Caenorhabditis elegans: one gene and its partners. The protein of the gene in region 2 purifies or fractionates together with the protein of the main gene of each other region. This does not show direct contact. Each region holds a gene or a part of one and is shown on either strand. Other genes may lie near its edges. The genes, in order: lec-2, wee-1.3, EEED8.2 and mecr-1.

The links.
Region 1: the proteins of wee-1.3 (region 2) and lec-2 fractionate together in Caenorhabditis elegans (co-fractionation; one large-scale study listed by BioGRID). This does not show direct contact.
Region 3: the proteins of wee-1.3 (region 2) and EEED8.2 fractionate together in Caenorhabditis elegans (co-fractionation; one large-scale study listed by BioGRID). This does not show direct contact.
Region 4: the proteins of wee-1.3 (region 2) and mecr-1 fractionate together in Caenorhabditis elegans (co-fractionation; one large-scale study listed by BioGRID). This does not show direct contact.

The regions. Positions count from the first base shown.
Region 1 is NC_003280.10:10,009,988-10,018,408, reverse strand, and holds the start of lec-2 (32 kDa GBP), read left to right. Parts: upstream 1-2,225; 5' UTR 2,226-2,525; coding exon 2,526-2,946; intron 2,947-2,997; coding exon 2,998-5,429; intron 5,430-7,075; coding exon 7,076-7,144; intron 7,145-7,466; coding exon 7,467-7,555; intron 7,556-7,622; coding exon 7,623-7,950; intron 7,951-8,003; coding exon 8,004-8,165; intron 8,166-8,210; coding exon 8,211-8,333; intron 8,334-8,402; coding exon 8,403-8,421.
Region 2 is NC_003280.10:9,712,913-9,718,582, reverse strand, and holds wee-1.3 (Membrane-associated tyrosine- and threonine-specific cdc2-inhibitory kinase wee-1.3), read left to right. Parts: upstream 1-2,115; 5' UTR 2,116-2,120; coding exon 2,121-2,376; intron 2,377-2,447; coding exon 2,448-2,956; intron 2,957-3,004; coding exon 3,005-3,352; intron 3,353-3,401; coding exon 3,402-3,539; intron 3,540-3,585; coding exon 3,586-3,899; intron 3,900-3,964; coding exon 3,965-4,400; intron 4,401-4,448; coding exon 4,449-4,481; 3' UTR 4,482-4,846; downstream 4,847-5,670. Other genes in the region: Y53C12A.11 (PRE_C2HC domain-containing protein), read left to right, coding at 4-411, 458-537, 584-719; Y53C12A.6 (uncharacterized protein), read left to right, coding at 808-818, 867-984, 1,046-1,105. UniProt on the Caenorhabditis elegans protein: Acts as a negative regulator of entry into mitosis (G2 to M transition) by phosphorylation of the CDK1 kinase during oocyte maturation.
Region 3 is NC_003280.10:5,414,659-5,419,068, forward strand, and holds EEED8.2 (lipocalin/fatty-acid binding family protein), read left to right. Parts: upstream 1-2,055; 5' UTR 2,056-2,077; coding exon 2,078-2,329; intron 2,330-2,379; coding exon 2,380-2,526; intron 2,527-2,961; coding exon 2,962-3,387; intron 3,388-3,626; coding exon 3,627-3,701; 3' UTR 3,702-3,787; downstream 3,788-4,410. Other genes in the region: EEED8.3 (lipocalin/fatty-acid binding family protein), read left to right, coding at 1-132, 207-611.
Region 4 is NC_003280.10:13,185,312-13,189,272, forward strand, and holds mecr-1 (Enoyl-[acyl-carrier-protein] reductase, mitochondrial), read right to left. Parts: upstream 2,004-3,961; 5' UTR 1,963-2,003; coding exon 1,873-1,962; intron 1,823-1,872; coding exon 1,714-1,822; intron 1,659-1,713; coding exon 1,438-1,658; intron 1,382-1,437; coding exon 767-1,381; 3' UTR 676-766; downstream 1-675. Other genes in the region: W09H1.4 (DUF1902 domain-containing protein), read left to right, coding at 1-53, 385-420.

The DNA of each region.
Region 1 (8,421 bases), 300 kb from region 2:
GCCAAGTAAGGAATCGAAGTAAGAATGATGTTTCGGGAAGTTGGTTGGGAGCGGGTGTTCAGGGTAGATAGAAGTATCTAAGGCCTGGGTAGGCGCAAAAAGGCCTACCAGACTGACAGAGGCATGGTATAGCTGAAGACTCTTGATCCATCACGATTAAAATCGAGAAATGAATAACATTGCGGTAAAATGGATCCCTTGAACAAGATTCACAACATGTTGTGTTCTCTTAAACTCAAGAAAAGACTTTTCATGTATTCAGATCTGTACGAAATTCAAGAACAGTTTGTATTTTTAGCTCTTTACTCCCCTCCACATCCTTCTCACGAACTCTCCTGTCATATTACTTTGTGAAACTTTCTTTCAAATTTCAAGAAAAAAGTGGCTCTTCTCTCATGTCGTCCTCCTCATTTTCACTTTAAGCTTTTTTTTTCTCCCATTTCATTACCACCACATGTTCATCATCATCACCCACTCTTCTCATCTTTGGCCCGCTTCAAACCAAGCACATCTTGAAATCCGAGGCGTCGAAACAACGATGTAAACTAAACTATTTCATGAGAATGTTTCCGCCTTTTTTCACCCATTTCATGCTGCAAACTTTTTTTTTCTAAAAACGAAACATGTGGTGTGTTCAGTTCTGTCATAACCCCCATTGAAAAGTGAAATCAGAGAGAAAATGGATAAGAGAAGATAGGAAGTGTTCAGGTTGTCCTGTGGAATGCATACAGAAATTTATAAATAAATACTGGCACAGTCACATGACAGATGGGTAAATAGTTAGTATAAGTTAAGTCTCGCGGGTTCTTGATCAAATGAGTATCATTTGATTTGATGATCCAACATTATGAATCAATTTTTCCGAAAGTCCTACCGTATTCGCTCACTATTTCATGAAAGCAAAACCCAAGAAAAGTCATGGAAGACAAAAGTAAGTCTGAAGTAAAACTTTCTTTAAACCTTCTAATATTGACAGTGCAACTTTATCAAGTTCTAATTACATTTACCTTCATTTTATTTGTATTAGTGTTCAATTGTTAGAGGGGAGAGCTCCTGACTGACGAAAGGTCAACATTAGAGTAGTGGCGGCCGATGGGTGGGCGCCTATAGGAGCATCTGATAATTGTTTGTACGGACCGTCGATTGTGTAACTTCGGATCATACGACGTGTGTGTGACTCCCTCCTGCAAAAGTTCGGAATGTAAAAATTAATAGGCAAAAAACCACATGAGCATGTGATTTGGCATCCAATTTTATTGACATCAGGAGGGGGAAGACCACGAACCTCTTATCACCCCGGAAGCCAGCACCAGCTGATTGCGTCGTGTAAACATTCAAAATTTGAAAATGACACATCAAAATACGAGTGCATTCGATTCAAACAATACATAGATCAATAGACATTTCCCTTGTTCAAGATCATGTAACATATATAATCCTTTCCGTTGAGAGCCCCGTTCTTCAGGAAACACCGGAAATACATGATTTACATGAAGGGGGATTTAGACTTGCCAGCAGGAAATGCGGATAAAAAATTGGGGATAAACGATGCCACGGCATAAAAAATTGAGGAGACATTGTATACCTAGATTTTGAATTGAATTCTTCTATATCCAGATATCCAGACCTAATTCACGATGAGCTTCTTTTCATGAGTAGCTCTCTCTAATTTTGTGCACTAACTCTCATTCTTTTTGAAGAAAATTCAGATTTCATTGTTACACCATTATGCAAATCAAGTGTACATTCAAATCAGAAATTTCATAGTTTCCCCTTCTTTTCTCTCTATCATACGAACGACTAACAAATGTTCCGGAATATTTTGCAACGAATATTTTCTTCTTCAAATTCTAGAGTTCTTATGGTGAGTCTGACGTGCGTCACTTGGACACCTGAAAAATCAGCAGGCTCTCTTACCAAATCTCCAAATCTGGTGGGTTGCATTGCACTCTTTCTGTTTGCCGCACATCGGCTTCCCCCGGGCTTCACCTCCTTTCTCTTCTATCTCTCTGTATCTCTACCCATATCAGTTTCGTCTAGCTGTATCTTGTTGTCTCACACTATTTCCCGAATTGCCAGCCGTTTTTTTGCAGACGGCACACGCGTGCGCGGCGCCCCGTGTTTCTTTTTTTGTGCCCCCAGTTCATTTGGCAGAAACGAATGGAACGACAAATGAAGAGAGGGGAAGATAGAGGCGTCCTCAGGCAGCAGCGCGGTGCGCGTGCAGATCAGTCAATACTCGTACACCTGTATGCGTCTCTTTGGCGCGGCGCCTCAAAACCTCTCAAACCCTTCCGAACCTACGCCACGCCCATCCTAGGCCACTCCCATCATCACAATGTTGAAATAGTGCTGGCTCGAGAGAGACGAGTAGAGAACGAGAGTGCCTCCTTCGTTGAGATTGGCCTGGTGTGCACTTTCAGACTCATTCCGACACACTCCAAGCCTGCAAAGAGGTGTGTGTCTTGTATTTCCCTGCTATTTTCTACAACCTCTTCTCATTTCGTTGACTTTTTGTGCTAATCATGGCCGATTCGTCATCATTCTTCTCATCGGCCTTCAGCTCAGCGAAGAATCTTATTCCGTTCGCTAAGAACACAGAGGATAAGCCTGTCGATGCCGACACTGCTTCCGATGCTAAGGATGCCAAAGATTCAGCTATTCAAGAAGCCGTTCAAAATGCTTCAGCTGCTATCAATGACGTCTTCACCGATGCTGTTGATAAGCTGGAAGAGGTGAAGGATACCGTAGTTGAGCAATTTTCCAACGGTGATGAGAAGAAGGAAGAAGCTGTTGTTGAAGAGAAGTTTGATTCTGTTCATGTTGGAGTTGATGGAGAGACTGCTGTACAGGAAGCTAAAGAAGAAGTCAAGGAGGCTCAAGTTGTTGTCAAGGGTGTTTTGGCTGATGGAACTCAGATTGTCGAAGGTGTTACTGATGTCGCTGGTGAGTCGGATTTATTGAATATTCCAAATTCTGATCCTATTACTGTTTCAGAAGCTCCAGTAGCTGATGAAAAAAAGGAAGAGACTGTAGCAGCTCCTCTTGATTCTGCAGCTCCAGTTGAAGAACATAAGGAGGAATCTCACTCTTCTGAGCACACTGAAGCACCAGCTCACACTGAAGATTCAATTGTTCAAGCTGACCCAGAAGCTCGTATCGTTTTCCAAGGAGTTCTTGCAGATGGCACTCAAATTATTGAAGCTGTCTCGGCCAACCCACCTTGTATTCAAGAAGAATCTGCTCCAGCTGCAGCTGTATCTGAAGAGGTTGGCGAAGCTGTACATGTTGTTCCAGTTGATCAAGCACCAGAAGCACCCACATCGGAAGCACAGGACGCTGCTCCAATCGAGGAACATGTTGAAGTTGTGCACGTGGCTGAAAATGCATCAACACCAGCTGCTACGGATGCTCACGAGGAGACAAAATCAGCTGAGGAGCAAACACCAGTTGTTGATGCTTCTCCAGCTCAGGAGATAGTGAAGGTTGAGGAGCATGAACACAAGGAAGAAGCTGCTCCAGATGAGTCAGCTCCAGAAGCCGCTCATGATTCACATGTCGAGGAGACCGCCGCTCAAGTCGTCGATGAAGTCATCGAGGCTGTTCATGTTTCTGCTAATGAATCGGCTCCAGAAGAGCATAAAGAAGAAGTAGCCGCTGCAGCTACTTCTGAAGATCAGAAAGAACCAGCTCCAGCCTCCGACGAACATACTTCTGAATCAGCAGTAGAAGGAGCCATTGAATCCGTCCACATTGCATTGACCGAATCTGCTCCAGTTGCATCCGATGAAAACACAACTGAAGCTGCACCGGGAACTGTTGAAGAGCACAAGAACGAGGTTCATGATCCAGTTGATGGAGCTTCATCCGATGCTCCAGCTGAGGACCACAGAGAGGCTGCTGCATCATCTGAGTCTGTAGAGGAACCAATCACAGCTGTCCATGTAGAAGCAACTGAATCTGCTGCTCCAGCTGACAAAGTTCATGAAGAAACCAAAATTGATTCTGCTGCTGAGACTCATGCCGATGCTCCAGTTGTTGACGCTTCTCCAGCAGAAGATCAAGCTTCGGAAGTTACTGAAGCTCCTCATGTAGAATCAGCTAAGTCTGCACCAGCAACATCCGAAGATCACAAGGAAGATGTCGCACAAGCCACGTCTGAACAAGTTGAAACTCAAGCTCCAGCCGATGAACACAAAGATGACGCATCCCCTGCTGAGCCAACAACAGTGCAAGATGTTATTGAAGCCATTCCCATTGTCTCTACAGAATCGACACCTGCGGAACATTCCGCCCCAGCCGAATCAGCTCCTGCTCTAGCTGAAGAACACAAGGATGAAGCAGCTCCATCTGAGCCAGTTCAGGATGTTCCAGTTGAAGAGGTCATTGAAGCTGTTCACATTGCTCCAGCAGAATCAGCACCGGCTTCAGTTGAAGAAGCCGCACCATCAGAATCGACTCAAGCTCCAGTTGAAGAACACAAGGACGCTACCACAGCAGCCGATTCATCTCACGAAGAGCCAAAAGCCGAATCTGATGCTCCAGCTGCAGAGTCTGTAGAAACTGCTCCAGTCGAGGAACATAAAGATGAAGCATCACCAACGGCGCTAGAATCAGTTGAAGATGTTATTGAAGCTGTTCACGTAGCCTCTACAGAATCAGCACCAGCTCCAGTTGAAGATGCCGCATCAGCTGACTCGACTCAAGCTCCAGTTGAAGAACAAAAGGATACTGCCGCAGCAGCTGAACCATCTCACGAGGAAGCACAAGCAGATCATGCTGCATCCGTTGAAGATGTTATTGAAGCTGTTCATATCGCTTCAAATGAATCAGCACCAACAACAGAAGCAGCTCCATCTGAATCTATACAAGCTGAAGATCATAAAGACGAAGCTGCTTCCACAGCCGAACCAGCCCACGAAGAATCCGTTACAGTAGTTGAGGCATCACATAAGGAACCACAAGCAGAGTCTGCCGCACCAGTTGAAGAAAATATTGAATCCGTTCACGTAGCCTCCGAAGAATCTGCACCAGCCCCATCCGGAGATGCCGCCCCATCAGAATCAGCACCAGTATCAGAAAATCCAGTAGAAGAAGTTGCCGTAGCTTATCACGTTGAATCAATTGAATCCGTCCCAACCGACGCCCAATCAGTAGAAGAACCAGTTGTTCAACAACACGTAGGAACAGTAGAAGCTGCACCAGAAGCAGCAGTCGACGAGGAATCATTCGACGTCGTGCATGTTCACAGTGACGCCGCACATCCCGAGACGGCTACACCAGAATCTGGAAGCGAGGAGACATTCGAAAAAGTCGAGCATTCACAAGTGCAAGAGGCACCTTCTTCTGAAGAGCATAACTCTTCAGAGCCTGAAATTGTGGAAGACGTTGTCGAGAAGCAAATCGTCGCCGCAGTTGCTTCAGCTCCAGTAAGTTGTTTTTTCCCATTTTTGACTATTGAATCTATTTGAACTTACCGAACTTTTCTTCTTCCATTAAAAAAAGTTTATCTCTCATTACTTTTCTATTTTTTCTTTTTTCGAAACCCGCTTCCTCCATCTGTCATTAGTTTAGCTTTGAAGTGTTGTGTATGTGTTTGCAGCTTTCAAACACTGAAAACACCTGACTTTTTCAAAATTTCACTCAACCTGCTGCCCTCTTGACATCCTTGACATCACATAGTTATGAGTGGGAGGAACAGCTTTCTTGCATCATCTATCATAAGAGTTCAGGGGTCATTGTTTCATACATCGAACATCATCACTTCAGATGAATCACACACAAACTACCAATTTGTCGCCCTTTTACGAAATTTGTCGGTTGATTCAATTTCACTCGAAACTATAGGTAATTGTAGAGGCGAATTTAGTGAAAGAGGGTGGGAAGGCTTGAAACCGGTCCAAATTTCACCTGCATACATATAGTGTGCGAGAGGGCTTCGGTTGCGGGCACGTCAAAAATCTGTTTACTTTTTTCAAAAAATTGCCTCGGACTTTGCAGAGTTCAAATGCATAACCTGAAGTTTTTTAGGATTTTAATGTTGCATCCAACTTTAAAGCTTAAAAGCTTAACTTTAAAATTTTAAAAGACCATAAGTCAGTTCATTTTAAAGATATCAATAAAAGACTAATTACAAAACGATAGAAAAAGAAATAAAAAATATTTTGCCAGTTGACTATTTTTGAAAAAAAAAAATTGGAACAACAGGCTGCAATAAACTATTCTGTAGAGTTCCTCCCTGGTTTGATACTTGATATTTTAAGGCTATATGTTGGCCATCTTACTTTTTCCGATAAATTTTCAGATTTCTAGATCGATCAGAATTGTATCGTTGTTGTTTTTTAGATGAAATTGTTTTGTTTTTCTGTCGCTTTTACTCTCTTTCTCTCAAATAACAACATAGGCTATTCTTCGCGGTGTGAAAAGAACCGAATGATGTTGGCACGCCCAAAGCCGATATCATTCACGCGTATGGGTATCTGCCATCATCTCTCTCCCTCTCAAACAATTCTCGTTTCAATTGACAAATCGAAAAGATACAGTTTATTGTCTTTTTTCGGAAATTGAACCTAGTTTTGCGTAGAAATGTGTAATAGTGTAGTAGGATTGCTGTGTCTAGTTCATGTGTTTCAGTAAATTTAATAATAAAATTGAAAATTTCGAACAACAAAAGACACATCAAAAATGAGTCACTTTTTGTTTTTTTCCCACATTTGATGTCTGCCTGCTATCTCTTTTCCTATCCAAGTGATAAAAATTCGAAAGATACACAATTTTTCTTTCAATCTTTTTCGTCTCCTTCGGAATTTTCTCTACGGTTAAAAAGCGGAAAACGATGGGTCCCATTCTCCATTTCCATTTCAATTTCCTGTGTTCTTTTTTCTGCCAATTCCATTCCATTTTCGTTCGAAATTTGAAGAATGGATTCAATTGAACTGAAGAAAAACGATGAAGAGAATGGGCGAAAAAAGCTAATTTAGTTTTGCAAACTTTTCTTTTCCAATTTTTCAATTCACTTCCAAATATTTCTACTGTATCTGACTTGACTTTAATCCATAATTTTTTATAATTTCAGGAAACTCAACCGGAAGAATCACCGAAAAAACCAAGAAAACTTGCTGAAATGGCCCATGAGTCCGCATTCGTAAGTTTTATTTTTTAGATCTGATCTTTTTCTTCTTCTTTTTTCATTCTATCTGTCAACACTTTTGCCCAATTTATCTCAATTTTTAATTGGCTTTCTTTTCCTTTTTTATCTCAAGTCATAAAAAAACGGGCGGGATACAAATTCGTGTTTGTTAGTTGTTGCGAAGACGACGACAAATATTTTTCCTGTCAAGGTCAATATCACCTTGATAAACATTTTTGGGTGATGTTGATCGTGAAAACCCAGAATTTCGTGAAAAAATGACGGATTGAAAACGTAAATTGATAGTGATAAATTGAGTAACAAGGACGAATTTCAGCCAGTTCCATACCGTAGCAAGCTCGTCGAGCCATTTGAGCCAGGACAGACACTTATTGTGAAGGGAAAGACTGGAGAGGATTCCATCCGGTAAGTATGAAGAACCATCTTATTTATTCACAATAAAAAAATATATGTGAACTGATAAAATATTCAGCTTCACCGTCAACCTTCACACCAACACCGCCGATTTCTCCGGAAACGACGTTCCACTCCACGTTTCCGTTCGTTTCGACGAAGGAAAACTTGTCTTCAACACCTTCTCCAAGGGAGAATGGGGCAAAGAAGAGCGCAAATCGAACCCATACAAGAAGGGAGACGACATTGACATCCGCATCCGCGCCCATGACTCCAAGTTCCAGATCTTTGTTGATCAGAAGGAGGTGAAGGAGTACGAGCATCGTGTGCCACTCTCCTCCATCACACACTTCACTATCGACGGAGATGTTCTTGTCAACTACATTCACTGGGGAGGAAAGTACTATGTAAGTAAAAATAGATGAATTATACTCAGTAACTCATACTAAACTAATTTCAGCCAGTTCCATATGAGAGTGGGCTCGCCGGAGAGGGACTTGCCCCAGGCAAGACTCTTACTGTCTTTGGAATTCCAGAGAAGAAGGCCAAGAGATTCCACATCAATCTTCTCAAGAAGAACGGAGATATTGCTCTTCATCTTAACGCTCGTTTCGATGAGAAGGTATATCAATGATTTGAAGATCCGTGTAATACTCTAAAATTTCAGCACGTCGTTCGCAACTCGTTGATCAACTCCGCTTGGGGAAATGAGGAGCGTGAAGGAAAAATGCCATTTGAGAAGGCTGTTGGATTTGATTTGGAGATCCATAACGAGCCATACGCATTCGCTGTAAGTTATTTTTCAAATTAGATGTAGACACCAAAAAGTTGTTCTTTTCCATATTATCCAATATTCCAGGTCACCGTGAACGGAGAAC
Region 2 (5,670 bases):
AAGATGAATCATATCAAAGTGGAGGCAGACGACGACGTTGTGTACATTGGGTCGAGTAAGAGCTCTTTAAAGAGCGGAAAAGCTTCTATGAAAGTCGAACCAACGGATGCTTCGATTCATGATTCGCTCATTAGGCCTATCTCGGCTCCTGGTACAATCAGTTCGGAGAATGCGAATGTTAATGTGAAATCGGAACGTGAGGCGTCGAAATCCAATCCAAATATTCCACGATCTGAGAATCTACTCGATACAAAATTGGATCGCCAAGAACTTGCGTCCTTCCCTCGGAATATTCAACAATCTGAAAATCTGCAATCAGCGCAAACTTTCCCAGCTGTGAATCGAGGAAGGAAACGCCAAATCACTCACGAAAATGCCGATAATGCGAATCCGGCAAAGCGGCCAGACTTGGCAATTCTTTAAGTGTCCAAATTGGAATTACAAACTTAAATTTCAGATGGCGAGTCACTTCATGATGCTGAACATCAGGGACAAACATGTGGTGCAGCGAGCGACGAGAATTCTTCGTTTCTTGGGGTGAATATTTGGTTTAAAAATGAAATAATTACAACATTTATTTTAGGATAAAAGAGTTTATCTTCTCGGATCCAATCGCTCAAAGCGTCGCAAATGAAAGTCGATCGGCCGTCGCGTTCACCGTTTCCCCAAAGGATTCCGCAAAAATTTTGGAAAAAAATCAACGACGAGAACTGGATTGATGTTTTCGATTGCAAGAAAATAAAGGAGCGCAAACAAGAGTTCTTCTGGTACAAGCTGGATCCTCTTGATTTGGCCAAAGCAGTGGCAATGGCTTCACAGTAATTGATTTTTCTCATCTAAATTATAAAATCATTGCTATTTTTCAGAATGAACGACAGAGGAGTCATCCCGTATCCAACACCAACGCTCAATGATGCCCTCAATGACCATGCTGCTTTGATCCGCGCACTGAACGATTCATCGATCAAAAAGTTGTTCAAAGAGGTCAGATTTTTTTGTACCATGAGAAAACGATTCAGCACAATCCGCAATAATCCAATTTCAGTCAAGCGAGAGCCCACCAATTTCTAGTTCAACATCAGAAATTCAAGAAAATAATTTTTAAATTCATTTGTCAAATATCCCATTTTAATTTAAAACCATGTATTATAATATTTCTTTAAACCCCAACCATTGCAAATATGTGTAATTTTTAAAATCTATTCGCTGGTTTGATTGCTTATTGCACCCACTTTTTTATTAAATATGAAAATTCTATTGGTAAAATAAATTTTAACTCTTAAATTTTCCTGTTTTATAAAATTTTCCTGTTTTATTTCCCTTTGTTCTACTTTCAATGCTGTATATCTGACTTTCTGCGGTGTTTAGGTAGATGATTGCTCTTGAATTGACAGGCCGTATCGGAGAGTCTTAAAAGTTTTCATCTGCTAAACCGGTTTGTAGTATGTAAATAGTCCGACAGATCCAAGCTACTGAAATTTTGTTTAACGTGATGTAATTCACATTATTATTATTGAAATTTTAAAAAAACACTATTTTTCTTTGGGTCTGCTAGACTACAAACTACAAAACATATCTAGCAGATAAATTGTCTCATATCGCTCATAGAAGACCCACTACAGTTTAATATTGAACCCTTTCTTCGGCAAAATTGGTCATTCCGGTTGAACACCATATTTAAAATTATTTTTTGAATATCCCGCTGTTTTCCCCTGTCTAGTCTGCATTTGAGCGCCACGGTGTTTGCACAATGTGTCTTCTCCTCTTTCGCGCGCTTGTTTTGAATTGCAATCGCCGTTGGCAGAATTGTTTGTTTTCTCGCTGTTTTGTCGCCTCCGCCTAATTGATTATTCATTCCTTCATACTAATATTATCTTATTATAGTAATTTCAATGTTAATTCCAATATACTCTCAGAAATCAAAAGGTTTTTTAGTTGAAAACGTTCCAAACACGTTATTATCGATTTCTCTCTATTTAGCATCTTCTCTGCACCGCAAAAATCTATTTTAAAAAATTTCTGTCGATATTAATTTTGATAAAACATGTTATTTATTTTCTTTGACCTTCCTTCCTTCTTTTTTCCGCTGCGTATGATTAATTTATTCATTTTCAGTGAAAATGGACGACACAGAGGGTAACTCCTCGATGGATTCCATTCGAAATGGTCAATCAAGTCCACTTCCACAGGTCACTCCACGCTTACCACAAATCCCGATGATGATGCGTGAGACACCACTTTCCACAAAACGTGAGCGCCAAGCAATTACTCCACGTTTCCGTCGTCCAGCTCCGAAAATGATAAAAACTATGCCACCAACAAGAAGCATTTGGTCTGTTCGGAAGGAGTCGGTCCCACTTTTGGTCACTCCGCAGGGTATGTCGAGTTGATTATTTTAAACATTAATTATTTTTGATAAACCCAACACATCTCAAGCATTTTTTCAGGACCAAAACCACTGGAATCGCCAAAGTACGATCATACAAATGCTCAATCATTCTTTGAACAAGTATTTCAAATCGATGAAATCATTGGAAGAGGCTCGTTCGGAGAAGTATTCGCAGCCAGATGCCGTGAGGATTCCCAATTGTATGCTGTCAAAGTATCGTTAGCTCCGATCCGGCAACATTCAATTTCCAAGTACCGAGAAGCTGAGAGCCATATGATCATTCCACCGCATAAGAATCTTGTCAAGTTCTACAGAGCCTGGGAGGAAACTGGTCGATTGTATATTCAAACAGAACTTTGCGATCAAAGTCTTTTGAAATATTGTACAGAGAAACATGCACTACCGGAGGACGAAATTTGGAATATTTTCGTAGATTTGCTCCAAGCTGTTCATCATTTGCACTCGAACGACATGATTCATGATGATATTAAACCGGAAAACATTTTTCTTACAAAGGACATGATATGCAAACTCGGAGATTTTGGTTTGGTTATTAACCTTAAAAATGTAAGTTCATACTTTTTAATATTCTGATTTTATTCAATCGATTTTCAGCCAAATGATGTGAAATCAGCGGAAGAAGGTGACTCGAAATATCTTGCTCCAGAAGTTTTGAACGGCCGTCCCACGAAATCATCAGACATTTTCAGTCTAGGAATGACAATTCTTGAGGCTACTACTGATCTTGACGTTCCATCAAATGGAGATTCGTGGCATCAAATCAGAAATGGACAGATTCCTGATAGATTCTTCGCTGGAATTTCTACAGATCTTCGCAGTTTAATTGCCTTGATGCTTGACTCTGATCCGAGGATTCGTCCAACAAGTCGAGATTTGCTTGATCATCCGGTAATCAAGAAGAAGCTCATGAAGCGTGGAACCTATGTAAAATGCATTTCAATTGTAAGTTATAGTTTTGTGAATGAGGGATTTTGACAATCACTGGTTTCAGCTTAACGGCTTTTTCTACGCCTTCAGTGCTGTTCTTGTCTGGGTAATGGCTTTCTTCTCGGTGCTCTTTCATCCTATTGTTCGCTTCCATGCTGCAATTAAAGACCGGCAATCGGAAATTTGTGCGCAATTTGTCAATGTAATAAGTTTTTTTACCCAAAATTTTATCAACTCGAATTTTTCAGAATCAGCAGCACACTCCCATCCAAACTCCAGAGACTTCTAAAGTTTATTTGGAATCTCTTACTGGAGTGGCTGTTCGCCAAGCATCTCAAATTGTGTCTCCTTTCGATTTTTCCGATGATGAGAATCCACCAAACGCGCAACGCCGTTTGTTCACTGGTGCAGTGCCGTGTCGCTTGAACTTTGATAACGATCAAGATGACGATGAGGAACAGGCGACTTGCTCATCATCAAACTCTTCAGCTATTGAGCCCCAATTGGATGAACCGGAGAGTCCGCCGAGAATGAACGATGTTATTGATAAACTTGGAAAACGGTTGGTTTTGTTGTTAAATATTCAAAAAGTTTCTGGATTCTCTATTACCAACTGCTATTTTTCAGAGGAACTCCAAGATCAGCTCGTCGTAATCTCACTTTCAACCGTCATCGTCAAGTAGCCGCGTCAGTTGCACCGAAATCGTCGCTAAATCATTATAATCATCACACTGGATCTGGAGATGGATTTAGTAATAACTCTCTAATTCCAATTAGTGATCAAGAACGAACGGAAAAATATCTCCGAATGCGACTCACCGAGCAACAGTTAGATTGGGCAGATCAGAATAATGTGATCGACGAGGCTCCACCACCAATGTCTTGTCCGCCAAGAATCCGAAGAAGCATTCGTGATCTACCGAGAATGCCTGTTCTCAACTTTAACGTTCTCGACGAGCCATCGAATAAACCGACTGTTGATCATCATACGATTTTGGAGCAATCGGAATCGCCACGTAGAAGATTAAATAGAGGGGCTAAGCCTGTGCCTCGTAATAGAATGGTTAGTAGTTTTACGCTAAATGATTTTTATTAAATGTTTTTTTTCCAGATGTCATTTGGATCATCAGGCGACGAGGTTTAATAATGCACAAAAATCAGAAAAATTGTTGAATATTTATTTTTTGCATTTATTAGCATCTCGTACTTTTCTTACTTTTTCTCATCCCATCATCACTTCCCCTAGGTTTTATGCCTGTTTACAGTAGTCCTTCTCACTAGTTATTGATTGATTTCTTTTCCCCCTTGACGACCATCTCTTCACAAATGTGTCATTACTCGAATTTTATTTACTATTTCTTCTGGGTGCTTATTTTCTGGTATTTTTGTACGTCTTTTTGTAAAATCTTTCCCCCTCTCGACCATATCGCACTACCATTATCACACAGACACACAACTTGTCATTATGTCCTTCTTTTCTGAAATTGAAGATAAAACGTATTTTATCTGAACTACGTATATTTTTTTAATTTCTCCATTTCATACAGAATCCAAATTTATTCGAATTGAATAAAGTAGGTACCAACCGATTACACATATGTCTGGTGTAATATAAACTCGAGAGGGTCTTGAGAGAAAACCTGTTCTTGTAGTACTGGAGGTAGGACAGTACAAAAAAATTTCCCACAGCTTTTGATAGCCATTTTGATTTATTTCGATAGGAATATTAATTACTTCTTAAACTACACAAAAAAACAAAAAAAAAAACTATAGAAAACATCGTAAAACCTACTTCCTTTATCAAAAGTTTATATATTGTTTTAACTTTTACTTACAACAGAACAGCAATAATTTGACTATAAAAACCGTCATTAAAAAATCTCGTACCCTCAGAATTTAAAAAGAAATTACAAGTGCTTCTATATGCATTTTGAAAAAAAGACACCACCGCCTCGATAGCTCAGTTGGGAGAGCGCACGACTGAAGATCGTGAGGTCACCAGTTCGATCCTGGTTCGGGGCAACGTTTTTTGTGCATTTGTTTAATTTTTTTTTTGCAATTTGTTTCAAGTTCAAAATCTCACAGTTTGGCCTTCTGGGCGTCTGATCTGTCTTGATATGAATATGCAAATTGATGCATAGTCGTCCACCTTGATTCCTGTTCTCGAACTGTGACGCGCTTCATTTTTGACCTTTCTCATTATATTTTTGATATAAAGAACATCAATTTTGATATTTCCCTCATTTTTGCTAATTTTCCCACAGAATTGTGATGTTTGTACCTCATTTTCAAAATCTAGTTCTTAATCTATTTTTGAAATTTTTTGACTAGTA
Region 3 (4,410 bases), 4.3 Mb from region 2:
GAAATGGTCGAAGAAGAGAAGTTCGAGAAAATTGAAAATACTGACAACTCGGAGAATTTTCAATATGTTTCAACGAAAGGAAATACTGTTAAAGAAGTAAATATCAATTCGAATGAGAAGAAGAAGAAAGAGGTGAGATCAAGTTTTAATTGCTGGGGAATAGATTCACTTTTTCATTTTGCTGATGTAAAATTTTCAATTTTCAGGCTCCAATTCAAATCCTCACTGCCATGATCGGGAAATGGAAACTTGCATCCTCTGAAAATCTCCAAGAATATTTCACTCTCGAAAAGTTCCCGGAGATAACCCAAATGGCCTGGGAGCACGGAATTACTTGTTACAAGATGAACGGCAATCAACTTCATGTTCACACCGATTTGCTCGGAAAATCTCTGATTCCTACAATTTTCGAGTTTGATAAGCCAATTGCCAGGGACGACAATGCGGTTTCAACGCATGCAGAAGGAAACATGATGAGCACCATTTGCAAGAGGATTGCTGACGGATCGATTGTTTGGAAAGTGGAGAGACTCATCAAAAATGGAAATCTTGTGGTTTTCAACAGCAGAGGGAACTTTCGGTGCAAGAGAGTATACAAGCGTGTTAACTGAACAACTTATGATATTACTATTTTTATTCCATTTAACGCCGTTATTTTTAATTCGTATTTTCAACCAAGTTGACCGTGACAATAAACCTTTGATTTCTTCTTTCTCGATTGACGATTTAAAATTTGAAACTTATTTGCAGATGCGGAGAATTTTATAGGCATGTTTTACTTGCTTGGTTCGCGGAATTTGGCATTTTTTGGTACAAAATTTCGTTTCCGTCTCGACACGATCGGAAGCTACCGTAACCCGAAATATTCCACAATTTTTCACCCAGATCAGTCCGGGAATTGGATTTTAAAATACAAAAAAAGTTGTCCAACTGAAAACCTTTTTCTCTGGAATCAATCAGAGAGTATATAAAAGCAAAATATAAAATCAGTATATGTTTACTTGCCTACATGCCTACACGCCTACTTCAAGCCTGCCTGCCTACTTACCTACTTCAAGACTGCTTGCCTACCAACGTGCGTAGTTAATTGCCTGCTGTTCATACCTTTTGGACAATGACTGAACCAAAAAAACTTCAATTTATTTTCTTTGTAAAAGTAACAAATAAAAATGGAGGCACGTCTGCAGGCACACAGAAGGCCCCTAGAAGGCAAAGGCCGGCAGAATATCAGGCAGGAATTTTTGCGTCATTCTATGTAATCTACCAAAGTTGGAAAAATAATTGTCATTTTACAAGAATGTAATCTCCAAACATAGATTTTTTAACCCCGACTTTGTGTGATGAAAAATCATTTTTTAATTGATGTAACATGTTTTATTCATAATATTTCCGCATGTCGTCAGTGTTTATCAATCTTTATCAGCCATAATAATTGTATTGTTTTCTCCGACTGTCATTTTTATCTATTCATTAATTTGATTGTCTTTCTCCTCTTTTTATTTATTTTTTAATTTATATATGTGGTGTCATACATATGCATATCATGTTTGGTTTTTCATCCCAGTAGTTATCATCATTCCTAGTTTTTAAAAGTTAAAAAAATTTTTACTGTATTCAAAAGCTTGTGCAAAAACTCTCTGCAGACGTACATCAATAAACCAAATAACCCACAAATGACAAATCAATCCTATAAATCATATCAACTCAATTTTTGGTTGACATGTGATATGCGCGCAGATTACACATATTCTATTGATGAGAGTGAACCCTAAGGCGCTTAATTGACCCTTTAAAGTGAGAAATATTATGGATTCTGTGGAGATAGCAGACAGCGAGATTCTTTGTGTCGAGTAAACATACTGACATACTGGTTGACCTCGAGAAGGAGCCTTATATGTTTCTATTGAATGCCAGATTGTGGACTTGTCTCTGTCTCTTCTCATTCCTTCTTCTTAATTTCTGTAATTCTTTTTGTTCAATAAATTTGCATAATTCCCCTTAAAAACTTCCCTAAAACATGTTTCTAATGATTTTCTTTAACTTACACAATTTCAGGTAATAGTCTTACTGGGTCAACATGTCATTGGATTCTAATAGCGATACCGAATTCGAGCTTGTTCCAAAGTTTCAAACTCAACCGACTAGGGGTGATGCTCCAAAATCTCCGGAATTGGAAGAAGTATCTACTGTATCGGATCTGCAAGATGAATTGAAATCTCTTCGTTTGGAAAATAAAGACTTATACTCTTTGATGGAACAACTCAAGAAAGATAATGACGAAATGAAGAAATCTTTGGAAAAAGTGATGAAGAATCAGGCGGAACTTGGGGTAAATTTAGATAAAACTTGAAAAATTCTTATTGATTATTAAAATTTCAGGAACTAGAAGAAATTCGAGCTATTGAGGATGATAAACGCAGTGAGAAACTGGCAACAGAGCTCGTAGCTATTCGAGCCGACTGCTCAAGCTTGAATCGCTCTGAAAGAGAGTGCAGATATGATATTGAAAGGATCTTTGCGAAACTTGTGAGTACCTAACAATTTTGAATCTTATACGTCTTTCAGATTTTCAGTAAAATATTAAAACCTCTCTAAAAGCCCTCGTCTACCAACTATTCACCCAACTATTCTGAAAAAAATTCTGTACAAAAATTCTGTAAAAGTTCAGAAGCATGGAATAACTTCTGATTGTTTTAAAAATTATCCCCTTTTAATGGAAATGTTCAAAAATAAGCTCAAAAACTTCTGAAAAGTGAAAGCAATTGTGTTTGGCGATTATCCCTTTTAGTTTTGTATGATTTTCAAAACTGTAAAAATCCATTTTTTGGCATAAAAATTCAGTTAAAATTATTGTAACATCACATCGAAATAACTCGTTTTTAAAAAAGCCTTTTTTAAAAACTTTTCAAAATTGTGGAAAACTTATTTCACTAGACATTTTTATTATCATTTGTTTTTCAGGAAGAAGAGTCATTCTTCAGTCTCCACGAGAATCCAATTCAACGAACAATCAGTGGAACTTGGAAAGTAATCAAGATCAGCAATTTCGATGAATTCTTTGCAGCTCAAGATATATCTCAATTCCATGCTTTGATAATTAAGAATCAATGTTTGTACTTTAAAGTGAACAAACATCAAGTGAAAACTCAATCGTACCATGAAAGAAGTTGGAAGCCACGTGCAAGAGAAGAAATCCATTATTTTAATTTTCCGAATTCCCTGGGAGAATTGTATTCTGTGGAGAAGAATAAGTTGATTCTAACTGTAACACAAGAAGAAAATGATAAGAAAAAAGTGATTTCTCGAGTTGAGAGATCGGTTGTCGATGGACAAATGAAAGAAATCTGGGAGAGAAATGGAGTCATTTGCGAGAGAATCTTCAAGAAGGTTTGTGAATATCTTCGTTTTCCAACTCTCAATTTGAATTCCCTCTAAAAACATTAGACCAATCAGAGGGGGTGACAACTGATTGACAAGTGATTGATAAAAAGCTTTCATTTTAGAGGTTTTTCAAATTGGAAGATTAACAAGAGTTGTGTTATTGTTAGGTACAAACTGAAAGCTGGAATATTACTTTTTTTTTTAAATCTGTTTCTCGTTCCAAAATAATTATTTATTTTTTTCAGATTCCTGACCAGAGAGACTCACGTGCTTACCCAAGAAGCATCTACGGATCGGAGAGCCAGAATATTTATTATTAACTTTTTTTTTTTAATTGCCTCCTCTCTATAGATTACTGTACCGCTTCTCATGTTCCAATATATATTAATAAATCTAATTAATCCGTCAATTTTCTTTCTTGGCCATTTCTCTATCTTTCTCGTTCACTCTCTCTCACACGCAAATTTTCGAGGGTTGGCTGGCTGGTACCGTGGAACTAATAACCACCTTTAGCAAATAGTGTGTGATACGAAGAGAAACAAAGAAAACGAACAGATGCTCTTATTCTGTTCTCTGTTCTCTTGGTCCCGCCATCTACGCATCGATTGTGTGAGAACACCCACCCCGTGTGGTGGTGTGACCTCTCCTAGAACAAGAAAGATCTACATTTTCTTTACGTGCTTCGGTTTTCGTTTTGTTATTTGTCTTGCTATTGTGCACTGTAGTGGCATAGGACTCTAGGTTCCACGCCTAGCTTTTTATACGACATCTAAAAAATATCCGAAAAAATCGTTGAAGATTGTACTGTTTCGAGCATCTTAGGCTTAGGCTTAGGCTAGACTGGGTAAGGCTGCAAACTTCCTTAAAGTTCTTGAAACAAATCATATCGAAGATGACTGAAATCGACATACCCGATTTTCAAGAAATATTATTCAATTATTCAATTCAAAAAGTTCATGAGCCCTAATTGATATTAGCAGAGATACCCTGTTGCAGCCAGTGTATCAGTATTGCACCTCCACTGTTCGT
Region 4 (3,961 bases), 3.5 Mb from region 2:
TCAAGGATCGCATCATCGACTCTATCAGAGCTCAGGTGCCATCTTATATGCCTGTAAGACTTGTTTTTTTTACAAAATGTTTCAGAAAAATAGAGTGAAGCTTAGGGCTGTCATGGGGGACGAAGGGGGACGTCCCCCTCGATTTTTGAGCTTTTTCCGGCGTCCCTTTTGTAGAAAGCTGAAGCACCACTATCAAATCGAAGCAACATTCATCAGATTAATCCAATTTCATGTTGGGGCTCCAGTTTACTACAAAAGGGACGGCGGAAAAAGCTCTCAAAATTGAGGAGGACGTTCCCCTTCGTCCCCTTTAACAACCCTAGTGAAACTTGAAAAGAATTTGAGTCCTCATTTTTCATTTCAAAATGTTCGATATTTTTTCAGATGATCAAATTGGTGGTCAGCAAAGCGTCTATCTAATTCTTGGAACCCCCCCGTGCTGCTGATAATGACTTTGACTTTTCTTTCAAATTACCTCTCCTACTATTCCCCTTTTTTCTGAAAGATTTTCACATCCCGAATTTAAATTAAATCCCTTACTTTCATCCATCAGTTCAGTTTATTGTCAGTTCACGTTCTTATTTCATAAATTTTGTAATTGAGTATAATCTGAAAAATGGCGCAATTGCATCTCGGCCATCACAATTTTCAGAAACACGCCATTGAGGACCTATTCGGGCAAAAAACTGTTTTTATTTGGAAAAAAAGCATGATCAATCTTCACATCACATTAAATTGTAGCAATGATACCCGATTACGGAGCGAGTTATTCCAAAACGAAGAATTGCTTCTTGTCGAATTTGCTCAGCGCAGTATCGAGAGCTTTTGCATGATCTTCCAATCGATTCTTCACAATCTCCTGCTTCTTGATCTCTCCACTCTTCATCCAACCGGCAAGCTCCTGGTACATCTCATGCCGCTTTTCCGGGGATTTCTGAATATCGTACCATCTTGACATCCAGAATCCGCGAAGCGAGATATCCTTGAAGATCAGTGGCCCGGTTGGACAATCGACAGGCTGCTTGCTCATTCCACCGTAGGTCACCATACATCCTCCGTGGTCCAGGAGACTCGCCAAAAACAGGGAGCTTCTGCCTCCAACGCAGTTTAATGCTAACTTGACTCCTGGGAATTTCTTCTTTCGACTATACAACTCTTCCTGTGTGATAACTTCGTCGGCGCCCAAATCTTTCAGCTCTTTCACCAATTCTTCCAGATTATCGCGACTTCTCACAACATTCACAGTTTTGATGCCAAGGATCCGGCAAATTTGAATAACGTGCTTCCCGACAGCCGAATTGGCTCCGTTTTGAGCCACTGTGTCTCCTTTTTTCAGGTCGATAAAGTCTTTAAGCATACGATAAGCTGTGGGAGGATTCACCTGTAAAAAAAACAAATTCTGATTATTCCACTGCTCCCTAGCTTTATAGATCATACCTGGAATGTTGCAGCATACTCCATGGAAAGAGTATTATCAATCGGAAAAAGATCATTTTCCTGGTGGAGCCCGAGCTCTCTCCATGTTCCTAGGCCAGATCTGTCGGGAATTACATGGTCTCCAACTTTAATCGAGCTCACATTGGATCCAACACTAATCACTTTCCCAAATCCTTCATTTCCACCAACCGCCGGTAAAGCTGGCTTCACAGGGTACACACCTGAAATATACTTCAAATAATTATTTTTTCAGATTTTGGAGCTATAAAAACCTACCTTGAATCTGATTCAAGTCTGCCGGGTTGATTGGAGCTGCTATCCATTGAACCAGGACCTGATCCGCAGACGGCTTGTCCGCAATTGTGACAGTTTTCAATTGTATTGCCTGAAATTAAATGCAAATAAAATTAAAAGCAAATTCGCGTTTTCTCTCACCTCGGGAGGGTTTCTATATCCTTCATAGACTAGTTGTCTTGTCGAGGCAGCTCTCTGGAGCGCAGATCGTAGACTGAGAACTTTTAACATCCGGAATTCGCACAGTTTACACAGATTTTCTTATTTTTTAATAGAAAATATAGAAATAAACGGTTGTAGATTTACGATAAACAACACGCGTAGGCGTTATTTTGGAGTATCGTTGTCTATTTTTTTCTGCGTCTCTTGTTTACCACACACTCTTTTTTTTTTTTCAAAACAACGATTTTCGCGATTTTTTCGCAATTTTTCCCAAATTTTTCCAATTTTCATCCGCTTTTCAAGTTTTTTTCAACTTCCTTGACTGAAAAAAAACTGTTTTTCATCGATTTTTTACTCATTTGTTAGGTTTTCGTCGTGTTTTTTTTCGATAATTGCCCGATTTTTGTCCCACGGCGCTTTTTCTAATCAATTTCCTCCCATTATTTTTGTGAAAGATGCCAAGTAAAAACCTAAAAAGACAAATCTTTCCTTTTGTCGATATTGTTAAACAGTTGCAAGGTTGAAACGAAAGCGAAGACGACCTTCACGGGACTTTTTTCATTTTCCCTGTTGAAAACGGATCATTTTCAGTCTTTCCCGAACAAAAATCGGCAAAATGTGATAATTTCGAGATGTTAAGGACAGAAAATTGCTCAAAATTACTTTAAAATCAGATTTCTCGCGATTTTTTCGCTCATTTTTTGCAGTTTTAGACTGGAAAAATCGTACATTTTACATAGTTTTGTGCTTTTTGCACATTTTCGGCAATTTTTTCCTATAGTTTCAATTTTGAGTCGATTTTCCGCTATTTTTCATGCGAAAATTTCACTTTTCTTGCCCGAAAAATTCAAATTTAGCGGGATTTTTCGAAATAAAATATCGAAAACCCACTAAATTTTTGCTTTAAAACATGCCGATTGGGTCACAATAACCGAATATCATGATAAAAAATTCAAAAAAAATTTTCTAGATTTTATATGATTTTTTGAAAATTGGAAAAATCTCAGTTTTTCCCCTAATTCCTATTTGAATTACCGCCAATTGGATTTGTTCGATGGAGCGCGCTTGCATTATTTTATTTATTGTTATTTTTCTTATTTTTCACTGATTCTCCATGTTTTCAGTGTATTTTTATTTGAAATTTGATGAAAAAGTCAAGATAAATGCAAATTTTTGATTAAAAAGCTAATTTACAAGCATAAATCTGTGAAATTGATTAATTCAGGTTCCAATCGTGCATTTCTTGGTTTTTAATCGAAAATTTGCATTTATTTTGACTTTTTCTTTGAAATTCAAGCAAAAATCTACTGAAAACATGGAAAATCGGTGGAAAATAAGACAAAATAAAATAGATAAATTTAAAAACGTGCAAGCGCGCTCCATCGAACAAATTTGGCAAAAACCGAGATTTTTCCAATTTTCAAAAAATCATATAAAATCTAGAAACATTTTTTGAATTTTTTAATCATAATATTCGGTCATTGTGACCCCATAGGCATGTTTTAAAGAAATTTCCCTGGGTCAGAATCAAGGGTGTCAATGTCCCGTAAAAATTACAAAAACGGGAAAACGGGAATTCCCGTTCCCGTGAAAATTTCAAAAACGGGACAACGGGAATTCCCGTTTTTTTGAAAACACTCAAAAAACGGGACAAACTGGGCGGTTTAAAAAAAAGAGTGCATAGTTGGCGTAAATTTTAGTGTATTCGAGGCAAATTATAAAAAAAACTGCATTATAAACATTTTTATCGATTTTTTCAATGTTAAACAGATATTTAAAAAGCCAAAAAATGAGGGAAAATGTCCCGTTCCCGTGAAAGTTTTAAAAACGGGACAAGGGGAATTCCCGTTCCCGTGAAAATTTTAAAAACGGGACAAGGGGAATTCCCGTTCCCGTGAAAACACCCCAAAAACGGGACAACGGGAAAAACGGGAAACGGGAATTGACACCCTTGGTCAGAATGCCTTATTTCGGTTTGATCTTCAAAAAAATGCGGGAGTTCAGACGCAAACACGATTTCGCATGGTTAAGAGTGTGCTGACGTCACAATTTTCTGGAAAAATGTTCC